4 linked regions of the Yarrowia lipolytica genome follow. The main gene of each other region encodes a partner of the protein of the gene in region 3 in a complex. Links are inferred from orthologs where the notes say so. Each region holds a gene or a part of one and is shown on either strand. Other genes may lie near its edges. The genes, in order: YALI1_C10492g, YALI1_D10858g, YALI1_D04901g and YALI1_E17171g.

The links.
Region 1: YALI1_D04901g (region 3) and YALI1_C10492g share a complex: the UniProt entries of both Saccharomyces cerevisiae proteins name them as parts of the mitochondrial small ribosomal subunit. The link is inferred for Yarrowia lipolytica from reciprocal best matches to the Saccharomyces cerevisiae genes RSM25 and MRPS17.
Region 2: YALI1_D04901g (region 3) and YALI1_D10858g share a complex: the UniProt entries of both Saccharomyces cerevisiae proteins name them as parts of the mitochondrial small ribosomal subunit. The link is inferred for Yarrowia lipolytica from reciprocal best matches to the Saccharomyces cerevisiae genes RSM25 and RSM24.
Region 4: YALI1_D04901g (region 3) and YALI1_E17171g share a complex: the UniProt entries of both Saccharomyces cerevisiae proteins name them as parts of the mitochondrial small ribosomal subunit. The link is inferred for Yarrowia lipolytica from reciprocal best matches to the Saccharomyces cerevisiae genes RSM25 and MRPS18.

What each region holds. Positions count from the first base shown.
Region 1 is NC_090772.1:1,047,216-1,052,525, reverse strand, and holds YALI1_C10492g (mitochondrial 37S ribosomal protein uS17m), read left to right. Parts: upstream 1-3,287; coding exon 3,288-3,986; downstream 3,987-5,310. Other genes in the region: YALI1_C10497g (uncharacterized protein), read right to left, coding at 1-2,788; YALI1_C10480g (uncharacterized protein), read left to right, coding at 4,429-5,310. UniProt on the Saccharomyces cerevisiae protein: Component of the mitochondrial ribosome (mitoribosome), a dedicated translation machinery responsible for the synthesis of mitochondrial genome-encoded proteins, including at least some of the essential transmembrane subunits of the mitochondrial respiratory chain.
Region 2 is NC_090773.1:1,082,208-1,087,985, reverse strand, and holds YALI1_D10858g (mitochondrial 37S ribosomal protein mS35), read left to right. Parts: upstream 1-2,102; coding exon 2,103-3,281; downstream 3,282-5,778. Other genes in the region: YALI1_D10865g (mitochondrial 37S ribosomal protein uS7m), read right to left, coding at 384-1,388; YALI1_D10829g (uncharacterized protein), read right to left, coding at 3,781-4,892, 5,006-5,063. UniProt on the Saccharomyces cerevisiae protein: Component of the mitochondrial ribosome (mitoribosome), a dedicated translation machinery responsible for the synthesis of mitochondrial genome-encoded proteins, including at least some of the essential transmembrane subunits of the mitochondrial respiratory chain.
Region 3 is NC_090773.1:488,169-493,533, reverse strand, and holds YALI1_D04901g (mitochondrial 37S ribosomal protein mS23), read left to right. Parts: upstream 1-3,384; coding exon 3,385-4,074; downstream 4,075-5,365. Other genes in the region: YALI1_D04910g (uncharacterized protein), read right to left, coding at 769-2,484; YALI1_D04814g (uncharacterized protein), read right to left, coding at 4,858-5,365. UniProt on the Saccharomyces cerevisiae protein: Component of the mitochondrial ribosome (mitoribosome), a dedicated translation machinery responsible for the synthesis of mitochondrial genome-encoded proteins, including at least some of the essential transmembrane subunits of the mitochondrial respiratory chain.
Region 4 is NC_090774.1:1,715,361-1,720,844, forward strand, and holds YALI1_E17171g (mitochondrial 37S ribosomal protein uS11m), read right to left. Parts: upstream 1,953-5,484; coding exon 1,862-1,952; intron 1,786-1,861; coding exon 1,256-1,785; downstream 1-1,255. Other genes in the region: YALI1_E17162g (uncharacterized protein), read right to left, coding at 1-912; YALI1_E17184g (uncharacterized protein), read left to right, coding at 3,099-3,857; YALI1_E17201g (uncharacterized protein), read right to left, coding at 4,019-4,729; YALI1_E17214g (uncharacterized protein), read right to left, coding at 5,357-5,484. UniProt on the Saccharomyces cerevisiae protein: Component of the mitochondrial ribosome (mitoribosome), a dedicated translation machinery responsible for the synthesis of mitochondrial genome-encoded proteins, including at least some of the essential transmembrane subunits of the mitochondrial respiratory chain.

The sequences.
Region 1 (5,310 bases), on a different chromosome or scaffold from region 3:
CAACATCGTCGGCATCATTGTCATACACGTGTTGAGCCTGGGTTTTGATCTGATCCCAATGATTACCGTTCATATACATTGTGAGTGTAACCAACAGTCTAGCTGCAGCTCTTCTGACGTCAATATCGCCATGCTCATGTTTAAGCACACCCAGAGCGACGTCAAAAGCATCACCTTCAGAGGTGTAGAGACCCTCGTTTCGTTCGCACAGAATCGAGATTAGAGACAGAGCAGAAATGCGCACTTCGTTCTCGTACTGGTTATCGGGTCGAATAATCTGGAACAGTTTGGGAGCCAGAATGTTGACGTATCGACGGTCAGCAGCCAGACGCTCAATAGCCTTGGCCAATCCTTCTCCCAGCTTGAGACGCACTCCTTCAGCCATCTTCTTGTCCGTGTAAATGCCGGCAAAGGTCTCCAATCCATCAGGATACCTTTCAATGCAAATCTCAACCATCTTAACACAGTTCAGGTATATATACGAGTCATCATCAGCCAAGTTTTTCAAAAGAATAGGCATCACTTGTGCAAGAGTTACGTGATTGCTCTTGATGGCCCAGATGAGTTTCTGCAGACCCTGCGCTCTGATAGGGATCATAGAATCGTCAAGCATATCCATAACCTGTTTCATGGAGAACTCAGAGATATGAGACTGTTTAACAGAGTCCAGGAATGTTTGGCAAGTCTGTTGTAACGAAGGATCTCGCTTCATGAGCTGTTCCACCACAGGAATGGCGTCCGAGACGTTTGCATCTTCCAGAGCTAAAGCCGCAAGAATGTCAAGAGACGACTTGACCATGCTTTCCTCTCCCTCCATCTCATCATCCGAATCTGCCATATCGTCGTCTGAATCATCATAGACTGGAGCCTTCTGTTTCTCGTATCCCTCTAGCAGCTTGATGACTAGCTCGACAATCTTTTCAGGACTCTTGGCAATCAGACCCTTGTGACCCATCATCAAACCCTCCATGAGCTTCGCATTGATCAGCTGGCCAATAGGATCTCCCTCATCAGTCTGAGAATGCTCCAGGTATCTCACCAGAGTCTCAGTGAACATGTTAGACACCACCTGAGGGTTTTTTGCCTCTCCTAGAAGGCGCACAAACAAACTCACCCGATCATCAACCTCCGACAGAATAGACATGGGTGAAGTAGAAGCCTCTGAGACTCGCCGGAGCTCCAATCGACCGTCCCCGTCTGCGTGAAAGTCTGTCTGGTAGATTCCAGTCTGTCCGAGGTTGTTGTAGATCTGTCTGAGAGTGTTATCGACAGTCACAAGTCGCTGCTTGCTGATATACTCGGCAAGGAAACGGTACATTCGCGGTTGCAACTTCTGTTTGTGTTCCGAGTATGCATAGTACCACAGGTTGGTGCTGATCTTGTCCATGATGTCTGTCGTGGGTTGTTCCACTCGAAGGAGGTTGTAGAGAGTAACGAGAGCCTGCTCGAGCTGTTTGGAAGAAATAACCACGTGGTTGAGTTCCACAGAATCAATCTTTTCCCGCGATGGTCTAAACACATTGAGAACATGGTTGTTGATCTCAAACTGCACGATTTTGTGGAACTTGGGCATGTCGTACAACTTTGCGACAAAGTCGACCACAAATTTGGACGAGTCCGTATCTGAGGCCAACGTCAAAATGTGTCGAATTTGCCCAAAGACGGACTGGAAGAAGTCTCGGGGAGGAACACCCTTTGGAACAGCCGTCAGCACCTGAACCACCTTCTCCATCAGCAGGTTCTTACTGCTATCTCCTGAGGTAAGCACAAAGTCAATGAAAGAAGCGACTCCATCTGGTCGCATGGGAAGAGTCGACAGTGTAGAAGTGACCAACGGATGGTTCTTGGCCAATCTAGTCAGAATACTGTACAGCTGGTACGTATCAATCTTGTCCATAAAGTCAGCCCTCTTGAGCGTTGACGCCAACAAAAACACATCTCCATAGTACCCTGCTCTTAGAATAAGTCCTCCCACATCTCCACCGTCGTTGATGAGTTCAGAAATGCCATTGTATGTGATTTCTGCCAAGATCGGGTCTTGCTCTGTCGTAGAAGGACGTAATCGTGTTCGTTTCTCCAAGTCAGACCGTAGAGAAGGGTCCAGACCTCCATATAGACCCTCAACAACCACCATGTTCAGAATCTTGTGCACCGTTTTCATGTCGTTCAAACTGATGGAAATAATGTCCTTGTTGTGGACTGTAGCATTGGCTCTCATCTGGATCAGGTTCAGTACTGATAACAAGATAGTCACAGCAGATGGACGGAAGTCGGGCACAGACTTGCGCTTCTTGTGGCAATTACCCTCCTCCGAATCTTCGTCCCCCTTGGCAGATGTCAAATAGTACCGTTTGATGTCGGGATCCACCTCGGGACCGAACTGGTACTGGCAGATTGCTGTAACGTTGATCTTGTTGTCCATAACACCGATTTCGGCCAGGTTTTCTGCGTCCTTCAATACAGCATCTAGCGCCATCGATTCCTTTGCCGTGGGCACCGCTGTCTTCTCTAGATCCTCCAGATCTTCCACCTTCAGGTTCTGCACCTTCTTCTGGATATCGTCGTCTATCTCCATTTCAATGTCCTTGTCCGATCTGACCTGTGCTGTGGTGTGCCCGGGTTTTAGCTGGGGTTTGGTTGTCGTTTCATCATCGAAGATCTCTTCAATTTTCATGGCCGTAGGTGTGTGGGTACAACTTGAGAGAGCCAGATCGTCTTGCCATTTCGTACCTACGATGCTTGCATGCTGCCTTAGAGCTGCTGCATAGAGTTTACAGTTGATGGCCATGTGTGACGGCTTCCAAGGTGTGTCCTGTGTGTCGTGAGGGACTAAAACCGCCTACCCAGTGATGAATGGACGGTGCGTAGAGGGATACAAAAGTTTTCAAATTGCAATCGAATGGTTATTGATGAAGATGGAGGGAGTGTCGGCTGTGTCATTTCCTCAAGTGTCTAGTTGGGAGTTACTGTTATTACAGTTACATTATTAGTTGAAAACAAAACTACAACAACGAGTCCATAATGTGTCTGCCGAACAAGTGGATCACATATTTAACATGCGAGTATGCTAAGAAGCGTTTTCTTAATCTACCAATTAGAAACAATTGCCGGTTCGGACCCTGCCACATCTCCCCTTAATCTACCCTTATCCCAATTCGAACTGGCGACATTGCACCAACGTTATTTGGCACCACCCCAAATCGAACCCACGACCCTCCCTGCAAGTGAAATTTCATCCTTTACAAACCCGTCTCAAGGTACTGTCACCACGACATTTCCACACTACAATGAGCACAGCATTTTCCCACGCGCGAGGCCGACAGAGCTTTGTCGGCGTGGTGACCCGACTCGGTCCTAAGGGCTCCAAGTCCATCAAGGTGCGAGTCACCCGTCGAAAGTACATGCCCGCCATTCTCAAGGAGATCAACTTCCACCGAGACTTTTACACCCACGACGAGATGATGGCCTGCCAGGAGGGTGATGTGGTTCGAATCGAGCAGTGCCGACCCATTTCCAAGACCAAGCACTTTGCTGTTGCAGAAATCAAATCCGCTCAGGGTCAGGAGTGGCTCGCGTACCAGAAGGCAGCCCCCGGCCTTGTCGAGGAAGACAACAAGAAGCGAACCATGCAGTTCAACCAGGACAAGGAGCAGGGAGAGGAGGTCTCAGCTCTGTCTGTGCTGGAGCAGCTGCGACAGGTCGCTGAGTACGAGTGGAAGGGTCCCCGAGATCAGGCTCACGAGGACCAGGTCAAGCAGATCAAACAGCACTACGGCATTGATTCGTGGCCCCCGAACAAGCCCATCGCCAACCTCTCTCTGGAGGTGCTGCGAAACGAGTTTTCCAAGACCCATAGCCTGGTCCAGGCCACCCACATGCTTCAAAACGAGCCTGCCAAGGCCGAGGAGATGCTCCAGGAGCTGGGTTTCTCTGGCAAGGGCTTTTCTCAGAAGCGAAACATCCTTGCCAAGGCCCTGAGACGGTGAGCGGGGATGATAATGACGTTTTCGGTGAAGACGACCAGAGTTGTAAATAATAAAATGTATATACTGATGGAAGAAGGAGGTGTAGCGACAAAAAGAATGCGAGCTGCTGAAAGCTTCTGATTTAGCAAACTAAGTAAATCATGCCTAGGACAGTCCCCGTTGGACTCTCAGATTCATATTGTATCCGTTTCAAACAATTGTGAAGACGCGAGCGAACCACTCAGATCGTTGTAAGTACACTGCAGGTAACACGATACCTCCAAGTCCGAAAGAAGAGATTTGAAAAAAGATAAAAGAAGGCGCATGAGCTATCGCTGCTCATCACATGTGTGTAATATCCTGTCTCTAGCCCCTCTCACTTTCATTCTACACCCTCCGACTTTTCAAATTAAGTTCACTATCTACTCTTAACAATGACGTCTAAAATTTATTTCATCTCCACATGCTCTACCATATCAAGTTCCTCAAAGTCCCCACGGCGACAAAAGAGGGATACAAAAGCGTACTCTCGCTCAGCAACGACCTGGGTGACGCCCTGTTCCACGGATCAGCTGAGATTGGCATTGAGGTGGGAAAGAGGAGAAGCAAAGTGACATGGTCTCCAGGAGACAGATCCGTGACTGTCATAACAGCTCCCGGACCTATTTTTCGAGCCACAGTGCTGTCATCGCGCGATGACCTCTTTCCAGACCAGCCCGCTCGGTTCCTCGATCTTTACGCCCAGGCCGTCAATGGCAAGTTCCCTGCCAAGTCGATTCGAAAATTCGACTCCATTCCTCTCACCATTAAGGAAGACACAGGAAACAGTATAGCTCGTCACGTGTGGGACGCAGGCGTCACTCTGGCTCATACGCTTACCAAGGAGCGAATCTATGAGCAGATCACCGGTAAAGATTCCAGCCAGCAGGTGGGCATTTTGGAGCTAGGTGCAGGATGTGGAATTGTTGGGTTAGCGGTGGAAAAGCATCTGGGAGGTCAGGGAAGTTTGATTTTGTCTGATCTGGAGGAGGCTCGAGAGTGTGCCGAGGAGAGTATCGCGCTGAACAATTCGTCTGCCTCGTTTATGGCTCTTGATTGGGCTGATGAGGATGTTTCTCAGTTGACCAATCTTGATCTCATTATTGTGGCTGATTGCACGTACAATATGGACATGTACGAGACTTTGGTTGCTTGCTTGGAACGTCTTTTAAAGGCAAACCCCTCAGCAAAGGTGGTTATTGGACACAAGATGCGTAACGAGCAGGAATCTGAATTCTTTGAGATGCTTGAGCAGCGGTTGAAGGTTGAGCGGGACTCGACAGAAAGTGTGGGAGTGCAAGTGCGG
Region 2 (5,778 bases), about 600 kb from region 3:
ATGCTACTTGTAGGGAAAAGCGACAAACATTAAGGGAAAATAAACACTCTTGGACTTCGTAATTACAACATCTTTAGAGACTCTCTTCCTTCAAGCTACAGTAGACCCCATCTAGTCTACAGAGGAGACGTCTTTCAGAGTGAAGCTCTAGAAACATACCACTGGTTGCGACTTCAAAGCAGTAAAGCAATGAGATCTATCTAACCACTGTTTGAGTATCTACAGTGAGATTGAGTCGTAGTGATCTTGAGCAGCGTATAAACCATACTATTATACTGTTCAAGCTCTCATGCACGGATCTCGTGTTTCATTCTTACGCCCATTCTCTCGGAGTAAGCTCCTCGATATCGGGATCTGTTCTCTCCTTAACTATATACAATACTCTACTTTCGGGGTCGGCTGGGGTCAGCATGGACTCGGTTGGCCACGGCGAGGTTGTGGATGACCAGGGTCTTCTCCATGAGCGACGCTCCCTTGGACTTAATGACGGATGCTATCTCCTCTCCGAGTCGGACCGAGAATGATCGGTTGGGCCGCTTCTCGGCGTTGTCGACGGACCACTTCCACACTATTCGTCGTCGCTGTCGCTCGGTGATGGGAACGGGGTACTGGACCTTTCGAGCACCAACGGGGGTCGACTTGATGACACAGACGGGGGCAACGTCATCAAAGACCTGCTTGAGCAGAGGAATGGGGTCGGCCTTGATCATGACCTGAGCGAGCTCCATAGCCTGGTAAAAGTGCCGTCGGGCAGCGTTCTTTCGGCCATGCTTCATGATCATATTGATCAGATGGGCCTCGAACTCGCCGTCGACCTTGTTGGGGATGGGCGCAGTCTTGAGAGCCTCAGCCTCGGCCACCTGCTCCTCGGTGGGCACAAACAGAGCCTTCTTACCGTTCTTGCCGGTGATGACCTGCTCAAACTGCGACTCAGAAGTGGGGTCGATGAGCGCCATGGGGTCGACCTTGTTGGCGGAAACGTCGCTGAAGAAGCCGGAAACAGTGCTCTCCTGTCGGTACTTGTCCAGCGTCTCTCGGAACTTTTGCATGTCCAGAGCGTCCTTACCCTCAAACTTTTCGGTCGACATGCTCTTGGCCTTGATGTCGTCCAACAGAGCAATCCACTGTCGAGCATGGCCCTCGGCGGTCTCGGGAGCAATGGGCTTTACGGCGTTGGCCTTGATTCGCTCCGTGTACTTGGCAGCAATAGCGTCTGTGTCCTCCTCACCCAGATCGGAGTTGACGGCCAGCTCCTGGGCAAGGGCCTTCTGGTCGCCGTCAAATCGGTCTGCTCGCACGTTCAGACCCACCAGGATCTTGGCGGGCGACGCCGAGGCGTATCCGCGACGGGCGGAGAACCGAGCTAGTCCTGAAGTCGTTCTCAGCATGGTGGTGTGTGTAGATGGTGATGTGAGAGTGAAAAGTTAGTTTGAGTTGGGTGTAGGAGAGGTGGTACCGGTGGAACCTGGGGGGGTTGGAGCGGGGGCCAAGGAGCGGTAAATTCGCAGAAATAAAGGCTGTAGGTGAAGTAGCTTGTCTTTTTGTATATATTTACTTTTTTCATTTTGTCATTTATGCTCCCATTCCATCATTTATCACATACCTCTTTATATCTCCAAATACAATCCTTGCAGCCTCAAAGTGTGTGAAATTTGAGGTGAAATTTCGGTCACTCGACTTTTTTTAGCTTTTCGGAGAGAGAATATGGGTATCAGTAAAATGGGGAGTTTGAGGACTGCAGCCTTGAAAAATTGACAGAATATATATTGCCACAGCGAAAATATTTCGACTAAATTTCACCCATCTATCTCTTCTTCAACCTCCTCAAATTCCCATTGTCGTCCAGCTCTATAGTATGAAGAAGGTTTTGCTTAGTTATCAGGGTAGGGTTTTTCCTAGTTGACACAAGATCTTTATATGGTGTCATTTTTTGCGAATAAAACACCTTAGATTTACTTTTCCAACCATGGGCTATTGATTCCTCTTTTCTTCATCTTTCTAGCCTTCTTACAGCCATTTCTGGAAACCCTCCCGCTTCTCCTCCATTTTCACTGCATTTTTTAACTTCTCACCACTGAACATTTTCATAATCATCACACAACATGCTCAGACTGGCAAACCAAAGCAGGGTGCTCCAGGGAGCGTTTGCACGAGCCACGGTTGTAGGCCGGGCCTCCGCCGTGACCCATGTTCGTTTCATGTCCGATTCGACCGACGTTCCTCCCTCGGATCAGTCCAAGCCCTCGTTCCGAACCGACAAGCGCATTGAGTCAGCCACTCCGTTTGCTGAGCCCTCCGAGATCCCCTCTGCAGACGCCTCTCTGCTTCCCCGGACCAACCGAGTCGAGGAGCTCCAGTTTGAGGCCAAGTACACGCTCGACGCCAAGACGAAGGAGGCTCTGGATACCATTGAGGAGCTGGGCTTCAAGACCCGGCAGAACCTGGATCCCGAGCGATTCAGCGACGAGGAACTAGACCCCAGAAACTGGACCGGCCTCGAGTTCCATGAGGTGGTCACGCGTCTTCACAACCGACAGTTCAAGCTCGGATCGGCCTACTCCCAGAGCGAGGAGGAACTGCGACAGCTGGTTCGAGCTGGTCGAGTTGCTGGAGCCGACGCTGGCGTAATCCGATCCGCCTACCACGGCAAGCATAGCGTCGTTGAGAAGAATGAGGAGGACGACGATCTTTTGGATGCTGATCACGTTAACGAGTTCATGTACGACGATATCCCCACTGCTGGACACATGCAGGTGGAGAAGGTGCGAAAGATGCGACACCTCCAGCGAATGTCTGCCTACGTGCTCCCCCGACTCGTCGATTATCATGTGCCCTTTGATGTCAAGGAGGCTGACAAGAAGGCTTCTCCCCTGACCTTCAAGTACACCTCGTACACCGGAGAGGAGGCCGACGAAGAGGCCAAGGTGGTCTGCTACTTTGACCCTGCCAACCTGGGTCTCTCCGACAAGGGCCTGCACAAGTTCAAGCTGCTGTCTGGACAGAACTACGACGCTCTGACCGGCCAGTGCAAGTTTGCCAGCAAGCGACACCCCTCTGCCCCCGAAAACAAGCACTACCTGCTGACTCAGATTCTCAAGCTCAAGACCGAGGCCGAGCAAGGTGACTCGTTCGAGGACGTGCCTCTGGACACCCGACACGCCCGAAACAAGGCGGAGCGCATCGCCAAGCGAGACCGATACCGACTGGCCAAGTTCCCCGAGGAGTGGAACCGACCTGAAGACAAGGCTAAGCAGACCGCTTTCAAGGCTCTTTTCGGGTAATGTATATAGTAAATGAGTAACAAGCAAACGCAAGCGTGTGTAGCCCATTATATCTTTAGGCCAGACGAAGGCACCTAGGTGTTGTATCGTACTGTGCTAGATAGGAAGCCAGATTTGTCCAAAACTGGTACCAGTACGAATGTTTGTACATGGCTTCGCAACGCAGCAATCACGGTATGAATTCCCATCTTCGTGTATGAAGACAAGTCTGGATATGTACTTGTACAGTTCCCCTATCAAGCATGCTACATATGGGTGAGACATGGCCCCCACACTCTCTATGATATACAAGTACTGTCGAGAGCCATACTTCAACGTCATGGAGAAAGGTGTATGGGATGTCGAGCTACAACCACTACTCACCTACACTGACCTGATCTCCCTGCTACAATTACCACCCAATTCCGTCGATGCCCGTGACCTCCAGCCACTTGCCACCTGGTACCTGTTATGATAAATAATCCATGCTGTGCTAATGAGTGTCGCTAAGTGCAACCCTTTACTCCGTCTTTAGTCGTTTTGCCTCTCTATCTTCTTCGGTTTCGGTTGTGGTTCCATTTTGTGCCGTTGGCTCGGTTGGCTCCTTGTCTGTTGGTTCCTTCTTTGTTGTTTCCTTCTCTGAGGTTGACTCCTTCTCGGGGGCTTCCTTCTCTGTAGTCTGTGTGGGCTCCGTGGGCTCCTTCTTCTCCTCCTCTGCAGTATCGGCTTCCACCTCTCTCCTCTCTCCATGCTTATGGTTTATGTTGGTCACGTCAGCAACTACCGTGGTGAGCAAATCTCCCTGGGTCTCCTCACTCTTAACCTGTCTGATCTCCTGAGCAACCTCATCTGGTACATCGTGAGTGGCCATTTCCGCCGACAAATCCGCATCCGTCATTTCCACAGAAACGTCGTGGGTCGTCATCGACTCGGAAATGCTATCTCCAGACACATCTGCCATCTCCACGGACACATTAGAAGCTTCGTGAGAAACATTCTCTGCTGGTACCTCTGATATCTCCTTGGTCTCCTCTTCCTCTTTGTCTTCCTTCTTGCCCTCCTGCTGCTTACCCTCTTCCTGCTGCTCCTTCTGTACTGGCTTAACCCCATCGTCCTGTTCGTCGGCGGTAACGGCGTCGGTCTCCTCTCCTCCCTTTTCAAGCTTGGTTGTATCCCCCTCAGAAATCCACGGGATCGGCGTCAGCACAATTCCCGTATCCGGTTTGATCTTCTCGCCGTCCTCCACCGTCGGCACATCGTGAATGTCCACACTCACTTGGCCGTAGTCGTCAATGGACGAAGACACCAACATTACCCGCTCCAGAGCTCGCAGAAACTTGGCGAGGTGGTTCTGAGGGTAATACTTGAACGGCTCGGTCAATAGTTCGGCCATGCGCTTCAGAGTGAAGGGTGGACTGCTCTTGAATTGCGGTGCGTCTAAGAGCCCCACTATTCGGTGGATTTGTTCCTGAGCATCCTCCTGGTGGCCTGTCACGGCATTTACAACCATGCCATCTTTGATGGGGTCGTACGACTCGCAGATCTCTTTGATCAGCTGCTGCACATGGCCTCGCTGCTCCTCCCAGCTGGGCATAGATCCATCTTCAATGGCAGTCTTGAGACTGGATAATGCTAACGTTAGTACGGTAGCGAGGCTGTAGATCAGCATGGGTGCATCCCGGCTGTTGTGGATCACGTGGCCTCCTTGGTGTCACCTGACTTCGTTCCTCCCTTCTGGTACTTACCGCCCGCGGTTTCCAAGGTCATTTTGATGGTGATGTTTACGATGAAAGAGTGCTGCATGACTCCCTCACGTGTAGCACGTGAAGCTTAATCGTCACACGACAACGTGGTTATTGAGAGGGGGGAAAGCGCTGGGTAAAGGGGCCTAGATAATTAACTGGTTTCTGTCTCTGTGTATTATAAAAGCCATTCTAATCAAGATGCACTTTTGATATTCTCTATTCTTCACTTATTCGTGGAGTTGAGGTGTCTTTCTATCGGTAGCATGCTATCAGTAATGTCTCAACTATAATCTAACTAATACAGTGAATAATAATAAGGGAATATACTTGCATGGAGAGAGGGAAAGCGTCTTGAAGGTGTGTAGAAAGGGCATTATTAAGTAACGATACTAGTACCTAGTACAAGTACGATACTCAATTGTTACGAAATATATACCCGTCACTCAAACGCTGACATTCTACATGATCCCGCCCCCGCCCCCCTCTGGCATTATCACTAGGAGAAGACTTCCTTACAACTTTCACCAGCATCAGTTGATCATAATGATGCCGCTCTTTTAACAGATAGTTTTCTCGTCTGGCTTGTATAAGCAAATATCACTGGCCTACAAGAATCCGTCGTCATCATTGACTGAACAGACTAGAATATATGTCCTTGCACTCCACACTTCTCTCGTTCCAACGTTGTGGATTGTTGACCTGTTCTTGTAGACGGACTAGATTACAAGTAGCAGCGAGTATACCGTCAATAGCAGGTCTTTTTCTTTTCTTTT
Region 3 (5,365 bases):
TTGCCGTGAAAGAATAACCTTTGAAATGAATGTACGTATTGTACATACTGTAGTTGTTGTGCATGCGCCAGAAGTTGAATGATGGTTAAGACTGCGAGTAAAAGGGGCAATGGAGGAGAGGGGGCCTCGATTTAATGGTGAGAGGAATAATAATCATTTACAAGTAGATGAGAGTAGTTATATAAAGGATTAGACAATTATTGGTGAAGAAAACGAGGATTGTAAATCTATGTTTTCCACTAATATCTTCAAGTTTACTCCATCAATAGTTAACTAGTGGTTAAGAGTTGCCAAGTAAAAAACGAGCAGACAACTGTACAATGAAGATCCCAAGGATGGAGTATTGGGTATCCACATCGTTCGGTACATACTATTCTACAAGCACATACTGTGTGGACTCGTATAAGTACGGGTAGTTTCATATATCTAAGTCCAGTCAATTTCTCAAAAAAGCGTTTGGCTTAACAAACAAATTGCAATTTAGAAAAACCTTACAAATGTGGAACTGGTTTGATGTTGCTACCCCCATTCACATGTTTACATATACACACACGCGCGTTCATCTTTCCATCTACTCCCCTCCTCCAGAGAAGTAAAAAATGCAATCTATTGTCATCGGACCTTTCCGATATAAAAGTATTTTTGTCATCACTTGGGGCCTGCTTTCCTCCCTTCATGTTGGGGGTTCTTCTCGTCCAGTTTCACTCGCCTCCTGACGTCCCCTTTCAAGAAGTTCCTCATCGATTTGACAGTCGTCTACAAGGCCTTTTATTTTGTCGATTCATTTGCGTCCTTGGTAGACTCATCTCCAATTTGAAGGTCCTCCTCAACCCTAGTTTCCATCTCAGCTTCAATGTAAAAGTCCGCTTCCTCCAGTTTCGACCATGCTGTCCGTGTAGGCTGTTCCACCTTCTCCTCCTGCATCTCCTTAGGAGCAGCCATCTCTCTGGCATACCGCGACTTGTCCAGAAACACGTCCATCCACTCCTGGACCATGCTGATGGGCGGCTTCAGCTCTCCGCCTCCAAGCCCCTGGTGTTTTTGAACATGCAACCGTCTAAAATAAATAAAAATGTACGCCTGCTTCTCCTCGTCCGTCCTTGCCAGTCGCACGGCCTCCAGGCAGTTGGCCTCGGAAATCAACGCAGTTCCTCCTCGAGCATCGATCACCCCGGTCGCCTTGTACGCCTTCAGAGCCGCCATGAATAGCTCTAGAGTGAAAATGGCATTGTCAGGCTTCGTTTTAAGCACGTACTCGGTCAGATAAATGAGATCATCGCCCGTCCACGTCTCATGCTTCTCAAACCCTTGGTACATGTCTTGGAGACACATTGTGGGCACTTCTCCAAAGTACATCTGGGCCATTTTGAGCACTCTGGTGCACTCTGAGAAGGATTTGTGGTGATGGAGGAGCATGGAAAACGTTTCGGGAGTCATGGTTGTCGGAGGAATGTCACCTATAGAGCTCATGTGCTTGTATGTGGTAGTCTTGGCATTCTTCTTCCGGGCCGTCTTCCTCTCGAACTTCGCAGCTTTGAAAGCACTCTTGTTCTGACGAACAGCATTGTTGATCTCGCTGGTGGAGAACTGGGCAAGATGCGAAATCACAGCCACAGCCTTGTCGTATCCTCCTTCACCACTTCGCAGTAACCCCCATATCAGAATGTTGACATCTTGGGGTCCCGTGTCTCTGCCTGAATAAAGACTGTAGAAGGTCTCCAGAGTGTCCTCACCAGCCCTTAGTCGCTGTCTGAACACTGTCTGTACTGTAGTGGCGTCCCATTGCACTCCCTTTTGCTCCATTTTGTCCAGCAGCTCCTGAAATGCCTTATTATCTCCCTTGCAAATCACCAAGGCGATATTGAAGGTAGAAACAGGCCATTCGACGTTTCCTGAGAGCAGCTGCATCATGTATTCCATGTCTGCCGAACTCGGGGGCGCTGGCTTTGCCGGGTTGTATTGAGTCTGCCAGTTTTTGTCTCTCAGCACGAGGTACACCAAGGTGTTGACTTCCTTGATAGATAACGGGATTTTACATTCGCGCATGTCTTCACTGATAGTCAACAACCGCTTGATGGTGTGTTTATCACGCAGAGCCGGCGATATGATCAGATCCAGCAGTTGTTCCAACTCAGCATGTTGCAGATGAAGCGGTCTGGGTGTGGGCAGGTTCAGATACAGGTTGTAGATGTCGTCGATGTTGATTTCTTTCGAATAGAGCGCCTTGGTGATGGAGGCGTAGACAGATTTGTTGATACGCTTCCGTGGCACCATGTACCGCAGCTGGCGGGTCTCGTAGTAGTTAAGACTCTCTGGATCAGTGTTGCGCCCCTTGCGTGGGGGTGGCTGAGATTGAGACACAGAAGGTACGTCGAACGGGCGGAGTTGGCGGATTTTCGATTCCATGAGAGTGGAAATAGCACGGGTGGGAGTCACGCGAGCTGAACTGGCTCGGAGCACCGTTCTAACGGCCCTTTTGTGCATTGTTGAATGGTGATATTGAGATCAGAAAATAGTTGCAGGATGGAGAAGTTTAAAAAAATCTGGGGAAGGTCAAAGGGTGTTTGGTCTGGTGTCAGATGGAGTGTTATTGCACAAATTTGACGTATTATATGATTCAAGTATCGCAGATGTGCCTGGTTCAAAATTTAAACCTCTAGGGTGAATATTGAAGGCGAGAGAAAGACAGTCATTTTGTTGATCGCGTAATTTCCCAGTCAACTAACTTTGGATATTAGTTGGTGTAAAACTTAGTAGGATGAGAGCATTAGATAGCACTGTTGTAGGGGTATTAGACAAGTTAAAGAGATTGTAGAAGTTTTGTTGACAAGAAGATGTCATAAATACCGACCGATGGTACTTTCATCTACTTCCAACAGCGTTTAAGACTGTATACATCTTTTGTTAGCCATACAAAGTTCAGGCACACATACTGCGGATATGTGTACAAGTTGTCCATATACAGAAGGATCTTGGGATATATACTGATTCAATAATAGTTTCTTCAGTTATAATACACCCGAAAAATCCGCGGAATCTTTTTCCTTCTCCATACACATCATGCTCCACCTCCGAATCACCCTCCCACACATCTCCCAGCAATGACTTATAGTTGTTTTCGCTCATAACCTATAGAAAGAGGGGAGGGTGCGCACTGTGGCTATCTGAAGGGGAATTCCTACAACCAAAAAAGAGCTTCTCATTAAACTAGTGTTACTGAGTAATATTCGATTATCCATTTTCTCCTCATCTCCGCCATACCCCCATTCTATTCCCATACCCAATATCTCTTCCTCCTGATAAACTTTTTCAGTGAAAAAAGCATGATCCCACAACATCTCACATTCACATCTGTGAAACAACACACTTGTATCCCCACACACCATGTCGCAACGAATCAAGACCGCCGCCGTGGATATTGTGCATATTACCAGTGGCCGAATTGCCTCCGGCATGCTCTCCCACGAGCCCATCTGGTACCGGGCCATGGCTGCCAACATGCCCACCACTGTCTACCAGCACAAACCCCATTTTGAGAAGCTGGCCCGAATCGCCCAGCGGGAGTCTGAAAAGCTCAACGAGTTTATCAAGACGCGGTCCAAGCCGGTGCGGGTGCGAACCCGGCATCTGTATGAGCCCGTGCACCTCAAGTTCATGGAGGATGAGATCCGAGAGATTTTCTACAAGCAGCATCCCTGGGAGCTGGCGCGACCCAAGCTGATTGTGGAGAACAGCGGTGACGATCACGTGACCCAGGACTGGTCCAAGATGTACCAGGCCAACAAGAAGCTCGACGGTGAGTCTGTGGTTCAGCGAACCATTTATCTTCTGGGTGAGAAGAAGACCCACGACCAGAAGGCTCTTCTGGAGGCCTACGACAAGGCTCGATTCGAGTTTTACAAGCTGCGAATGGCTGAAGATGTGCAGAACGTCACTGCCGCCGAGGAGGCTGATATGTTTGGAGCCTGCTTCTCTACCTCGTCGGTGGAGCGAAACCTGTTCCATGAGCAGAAGCGAATTGAGGATTGGAAGGAGAAGGCCGTGGAGATGACGTTGGATATGGGTGCCAAGTAAGCATGAGAGCAGCTAATGATTTCACTAGGTCATGAGCCTGGCGAATTTATCTGGACCCAGGCTTTTGAACATTAACATACTCACATGCTCCCGAGCCTACCAACAACTAAAATAAAGTGTATATAGTCAAGTTATGAAACGAAAACGATCTGAGGGTCTAGTGAATGGGTCCCTGAGACAGATGATAGTCTTGTGGAGACAATGTTAACGAGTTTGACTCTGCTGCTCCTTCCAGTGATCCATAAGTCTCTCTGTTGATTTGATGGGTTCTTTGTGATAGGTTATATTGTCTTGCTTACTTCAGTCGAATTTTGAACTCTACATTGTAACTTATTGGCCATTCATGGAGTTCTACCCTCAGTACATACAGTACATCGTAATGCAACTGTTGATGCTATTGTACGTCTAGCTAGGCTACATTCTGGGGTTCCAAAGTTGAAACCATCTGTGTAGAGCCTGTGTCTTTATGAACAAGCACATACTTCTTCCATCTATCATCTCTGTGATACTCTACCTTCGAACTTCATTTAGCCTGCCTGGTTCTGTTGAGTACAAGCATTTCACAGCCGAACCATCTCTCGTTGTACATTTAATGCATCAATGTCATGTTATTTATATACAAATATGTCCCTGTGTCAACTCCGACATGCTACAAGTAGTGAGCGACACTGTTCAAGTAGGACAGTGGACAGTAGCCATAGGTCAAGTACGTACTCAAGCTGAAGTGTTGTACATTCTCATTGTGTCCTGAGTGAGGATTCGCCTGAATTCGCCTCTGAGAACTCAGTAGAACGGCGTCCACCCGTGAAAAATCACAGCCAGATTCTCCACGCTCACCGCCTCCCCAATCAGCTCTCTCACCACGGCCTCCGTGCTCAATCTCACTGCGAGCTTCCCCTTTACACCGCTCAGACACATGTCTGCCGTCACGTTGGACTCCTCCAACTTGATATCAGACAAGTCTGATCCCGAAGAGCTTCTTGTTTGTTTTTTCTTGGGGGACATTGTCCACGAATACAACGGATCGTAACGAAGCACGTTGAGAATCGATAGAATGTTATCCTGCTGTTCTCGGAACAGACCCAGGGACAATTCACAGCAGCGCCTAAATGGCCCATCGACTCCCACACTACCCATGGCATCAACCATGTCTCTTGTGAGTCGAAAGGGCACCTTTTCAGGCACAGTCAGGTTCTTGCCCTGGTCAAACGAAATACCCAAGTCGATATGCACCAATTGACCTGTCTTGTAATCAATCATAATGTTGTTACAATGTCGATCTCCAATACCA
Region 4 (5,484 bases), on a different chromosome or scaffold from region 3:
GGTAGCCTGACGCTGGAACTCGGCAAGAGACACATTGGGGCTTTGCAGAGTGTTGTTGTTGGGCCATTCCAGCACAAAGCCGGGGTCCTTGACCGGTTCGGGTTCGGGAAGAATCTTCTTGGCAATAGAAGCAGCCTGCTTTTTGAAGAAGACAGCCATTTTTCCGGGCTCGGGGGCCTTCTCGGCGGGTTTGGGGAGGGCCACTCTCCAGCTGAGTCTGCACACAGCGTTGTGGATGGCGTGGTAGTAGTCGACAATAGGCCGAGACTTGAACACAAAGTATCGATCCTGTCGGTTGGTAAAGTAGTCTCTGGACAGGTTGGCTCCCGACAGAATGATATCGTCGTCGCAACCATACAATTTCATGTGTTGTAGGCCCCAGCCTTCGTTGAATCGCTTGGGGATCAGCTGTTTCTTGAGTCCAAACAGGTGTGGGGTGATGTAGCATCTGATATCGACCCGATCTCCGTGTTTGTGGAGCAGGGAGGCCAGAAGAGAGGCCGAGCACGTTTCGGGCTCCTCGCGGGTTCCTCTCAGGCCGTCAATGAGCACGGAGACCTTGAGACCGGGGTTTTTCGTCAGAGCCTCGTCCAAGCAGCTAACTAGTTCCGTCTCCTCCTTGCCAACGTAAAGAGTGGAGAGGAACACACGCTCCTTCGCCGCCAGGATTTTCTGCTTGAGCTGGTCGTAGAACTCTTCGGGATCGTACAGAACCTGGATCTGGCCCTTGTCCACGGCAAACTTGGGCACTGTGGCTTCAATCTGCTTGAGAGTGATGTTGACGTTACTGTGGAGACCAGAGAGTCCTCGGGATCCGCCGGTGAGTCGCATGGCTCGCGAAGTTCGGGCACTCACCACGCCTGCTCGTCGAGCTGAGCATACCAATCCAGCCAATCGGGCGTTTCGAAACATGTGTTCTGCTGTTTTCACAAGTACGATACTGTTGGTCGGGGTCGTTAGTCGGGATATTTCAAAACTGCTGAAGTTTATCCATACATGCGGAGATTAGTATGGGGTAGGAGGAGTGTAGCTGATATTGAAGGCAAAAGACATTTTGACCGAGCAATCAAGTGACTATGCACTTGAGATCAGATTGTTCAAAAAAGCAATACTGTGCGGTCATTGTTGGCCATTGTTTGTTCGTCATACTTGCCTTATTGTATCCGAGCGTTGCGGCTCATCAACATACCAGTACAGGCTACAGCATCGCTCAAACACCAACTATGAATACTATTCCTATGTACAATGCACCCGTTTAGACTCGTCGTCGTCCAGGAGGTCGGGTACCTCCCTGGTTGAGCTTGGTTCGGTCAGACAGACGGTCGACCTTGGAGGCCACCTTCTCTCCCTCAGGGGCAGTGAGAGCGGCAAAGAAACCCTCTCGGCCTCGTCCAAAGCCTCGGACAACAACCTCGACGGGTCGGGTCAGCATGCCCTTCTTCTCGAGCAGCTCAAAGGCTCGGACACTGGTCTGGAAGGCTCCGTCGTACTCTCCTCGCTCCTTCTTCTTAATGCCGAGATGTCCGCAAGAAATGTGGAATCGCACCTCCTGGGGGGCTCGCACCTTCTGCAGCAGCTTCTCGTCAATGCTCTCGGGAATGAAGGACTTGTCAACAAACTCGTCGGTAGCGCAGATGTGCAAGTTGTTCTTGGTAGCGGTCACATGGACGTAGTGTCGCACCACCTCCTTACCCTTGGCGCTCTGGTCGATCTGTCTCTGGGTCTCTCGGGCCTTGTTCAGCTCCTCGGCGTCCGTCTTAGGGATCTTGCTGATTTCCTTTTGCACTGTGTTAGTACGATCCGGAGTCGTTCCATCTTGGTCAGATCCTCAAATCAGCCTGCTCGCAAGCGCTCAACTCACGGTTCATGAAACTGGCGAGGCCAGAATTGTGTCGAACACCTCCGATGGCGCCCGTGGCGACTCGGGTCCGCAGCATCTGAAACCCTTGCATTTTTGTGTTAGTGATGACGCTGTGGTGGTGGATATGCGTAACCTTGACAAATTTGATTTTCCACCCGGCACGTGATGCACTTAGTCAGTGGGAGGAGTGTGCGGTGATAAAACCAAAACAAATTGGATAAAACCGCCATAAATATATAGAAAATTAAAAGAAAGAAAAAAGCCATTCTAATTGACTGTGTATTAAAGAGGGGAACCATTTATTTTGCAATCGCCTATCCACACAAATCAGCTAAATCAACTAAATTAACTAATCAAAGTCTCTCATACATACTGAAGACCACAGTTCAAGCTTGAAATGGTGACGAGACGCTGAACACTTGAAAAAAGTACATACTGAAAAAGGGTTGGAGTAAAGTAAGTAAAGGCAACCCTCGACTGTTCCCTCGACTGTTCCCCTCGACTGTTCCCCTCGACTGTTCCCTCGACTGTTCCCTCTCTGGCTCCTCTCTCTGTTGGTGTTCCATCTCATCTAACCCATAGTTTCAGCTCACGATATGACCTCAGTTGTACTGGTACAGTATGTACATACATATACGTACTTGTAGAGAATGTACATGCTCATCATACTCTGATACGTTTGAAACTCCATACCTATATAACCAACGTCAATTCGCTACTTGTACGGAGTGGTAAATGAACTACTTGCTCCTTGTTCCTGCTTCACTTATGTGGCTGTCATACCATACCATTCTCACAAAAAACTTCCAGCAAAAAAGTCGTACTTGTGCTTACTGGACTCTGCTGTTGGAAACAATCGTTGGAGGTTAATTATATTTTCACACGAAGACTAATATTGCTGACGAGCAACGTCCCCTCGTAATAGCTACAGTGTTGGCCAAAAGCCAAATGGATAGAGTATATGGGGATCCGAGGGGCCCAGGGAACCGCCTTAGTTGTCACCGGGTGGCCTCTGCACCGCAATTAGCCGCCAGTCGCGTGGCTCGCCTAAAAAAGATGTATTTAGACCGGGATCCAGCGATGGAGTTAGACGCACCCACGTGGATTGCGTACGCTTATCGCTATGCAAGGGAGCAACAGAGAAAGAGTGTGGCCTACTTTGGAGGAGAGCGTGTGAAAAATTGACACACACGACACAAAGTACAGTCACTCTGCACATTGCCATTCAGCCCGAATCATGACGCAACAGGAACGAGAAGCCACCCGAGCCATCCGCACCACCAAGGCGCCCTACAAGCCGTGGATTAGCTCGCCCAACGTGGGTCTGTCTTTTGCCTACCACCTGATTGGCTTCATCTCATTCGCCTCGTCGTTCCACTTTCTGGAACAGTACCCCAACCCGCTCAATGCCTCGTACGGAGGAAAGTACCAGTACCTGACCATTCTGGGTCTGTGCGGCAGCTACCTAGCGTTCTTGCTTGCTCTGCTGGCCGACGCAGCCTCGCTCTACTCCAAGGACTTCAGCAATCTGCTTTACCAGCTCAAAAACTCCGTGTCGGTGGCTGTGACGCCCCTCGAGTGCGTCATCACCGTGCTCTACTGGTCCCTCAAGCTCTACGACCCCAAGCTGCTCAAACACCCCGCCGTCAAGGAACAGATTCCGTTGTGGCTCGACATGTCCATCCACCTGGTCCCTGCCGTCGCCCTTTTCCTGGACGTGGTACTCATGGGCCAGCCCTGGAACCTGACCACCGTCCAGGCCGTAGTTGCCAACTTTGGTCTGTCGGCAGCATACTGGTTCTGGGTCCACAAGACCGCCTCCGTCAACAACTTCTTCCCCTACCCCTTCCTCGGCCTCGTGAGCACCGAGGTCCGAGTTGGCGTCTTCATTGGAGCCGGGGTTATTGGCTACATTAGCTATATCATCATCCGGGGTCTGCAGTCGACTTTTGCCCGATCTCCCCTCGACCAGCTCAAGGGCAAAAAGAGCATCTAATCAGTCTTAGTGCTTGTAAATAGAATATAGAAACGAAGAGTATCAAACCAAGAGGGGTAGGGGCTACGAGTAGCCAATTAGTACAGTATAACAAAATACTCGTACAAATACAATTCAATGCGATTAAGAGTTATGTAAGTATGCAATAAATAGTGGGGTGGTCAACGTTCCGACCAAATGTACTCGACAAAGGCCATGACATCTTCACACCGAAGACTCACCTGAGCAGTGCTGTTTCCAAGACTCAGAGGCGCAAAATAGATCTTGTTGGTGGCCCGATCAATCATGGCAATGGCATCAAGCAACATGCGTCCTCCTCCCATGGGATGAAGTGCCCGAAAAGCTCGCGCAAGGGCAACTGTATGGTCACAGATGAGGGGAATAGAATAGTCGTTCTGTGTAGCATGGGCGTCGGTAGTCACGGCAACTACAGTAGCACCTAGCTGTGTTTGTAGAACCGCCCAACACTTTTCCAGCTGCTGTCGGATATTGGGCTCCATCTGGTCGTCCAGGAAGAACAGAAAGCCGAGCTCACTGGAAATGTCCCGTAGCTTGAGTATTGTCGTATCGCTGTCCATCACATCGCTATGTGGACCAAAATACCCTACTTCGCATTCAAATGTAAGAGGAACCTGTCGAATGCTGTATACCGACCCTTGACTGATATACCGAGGGATCTGGGTGATGCAAGCATGGGTCCGTCGCTGGCTGTGGCCCTTCAGACGCTTTGTGATCTCCTTGACGTTTTCTCCCGAGAGAACAACCTCATCCTCCTCAACTTCGTCTCGAACTCGTCGTCGTGGAGTCGGTGTGGCGGTCCCGCTACAGCTCTTGCGAGTAGGTGTGCGAGGCTGTCTTGGTATGATGTTCATGTTGTTGGATGTGTGTGTGTGTCTGAGTCTGTGTGTGTGGATGCAGAGTATTTAAATGATTGCTTTGTGCACGTCTTGTTCTTCTTTTTTCTCTCCCGACTCTTTGTGTTTGACCCCTCACTGTTTGTTTTAGTCACCGGTGATCCAGGGTCCAGACTAGTTCTCACCTCCCCTCCCAGGATCACCTTGGTACTTAAGCATGCAACCTCGAGGATGTCTATTCTTTGTTTGTGAATTGCCCGTTTCGGTAATTTCAAAACAACCCTAACCCTGTCCCCACAGTCCATCAAGGGATAGCCATGCATCGAACGCAGCCCCGACGACATGAAAGTTGGGCAAGACAATGGCGTCACCAAGACATGTGGGTCACGTCATACCCCGCCGCAGTAATCATTAATGCACGAGCGCTATTGGTGTGGCCAGCTTACTAATATTACATCTACAACAGGTACACTCTCTGTTTATCGCAAATACGTTTAAATAGCTATATACTTAGCCGACTGGACTCTATCATTTCAAAGGCAAAGTTTTAGATCCTAGCTAGAATGGTTAGTGATCGTGTAGTTCAAATGGGGGAAAGATCAGTAGGAAGGCACTTTGTGCGCTTCCCTGATGCGTGATGTATACTTACTTGGCAGGAGGAGGGTTAACAATGAACTCCTCGCCCTTGGCAATGTTGCCGTAAAGACCGTCGATGGAGACCTTGAGAAGCTTCTTCTCGTAGTCGTTGGCCTCGGGAAGGATGTTGTAAGCCT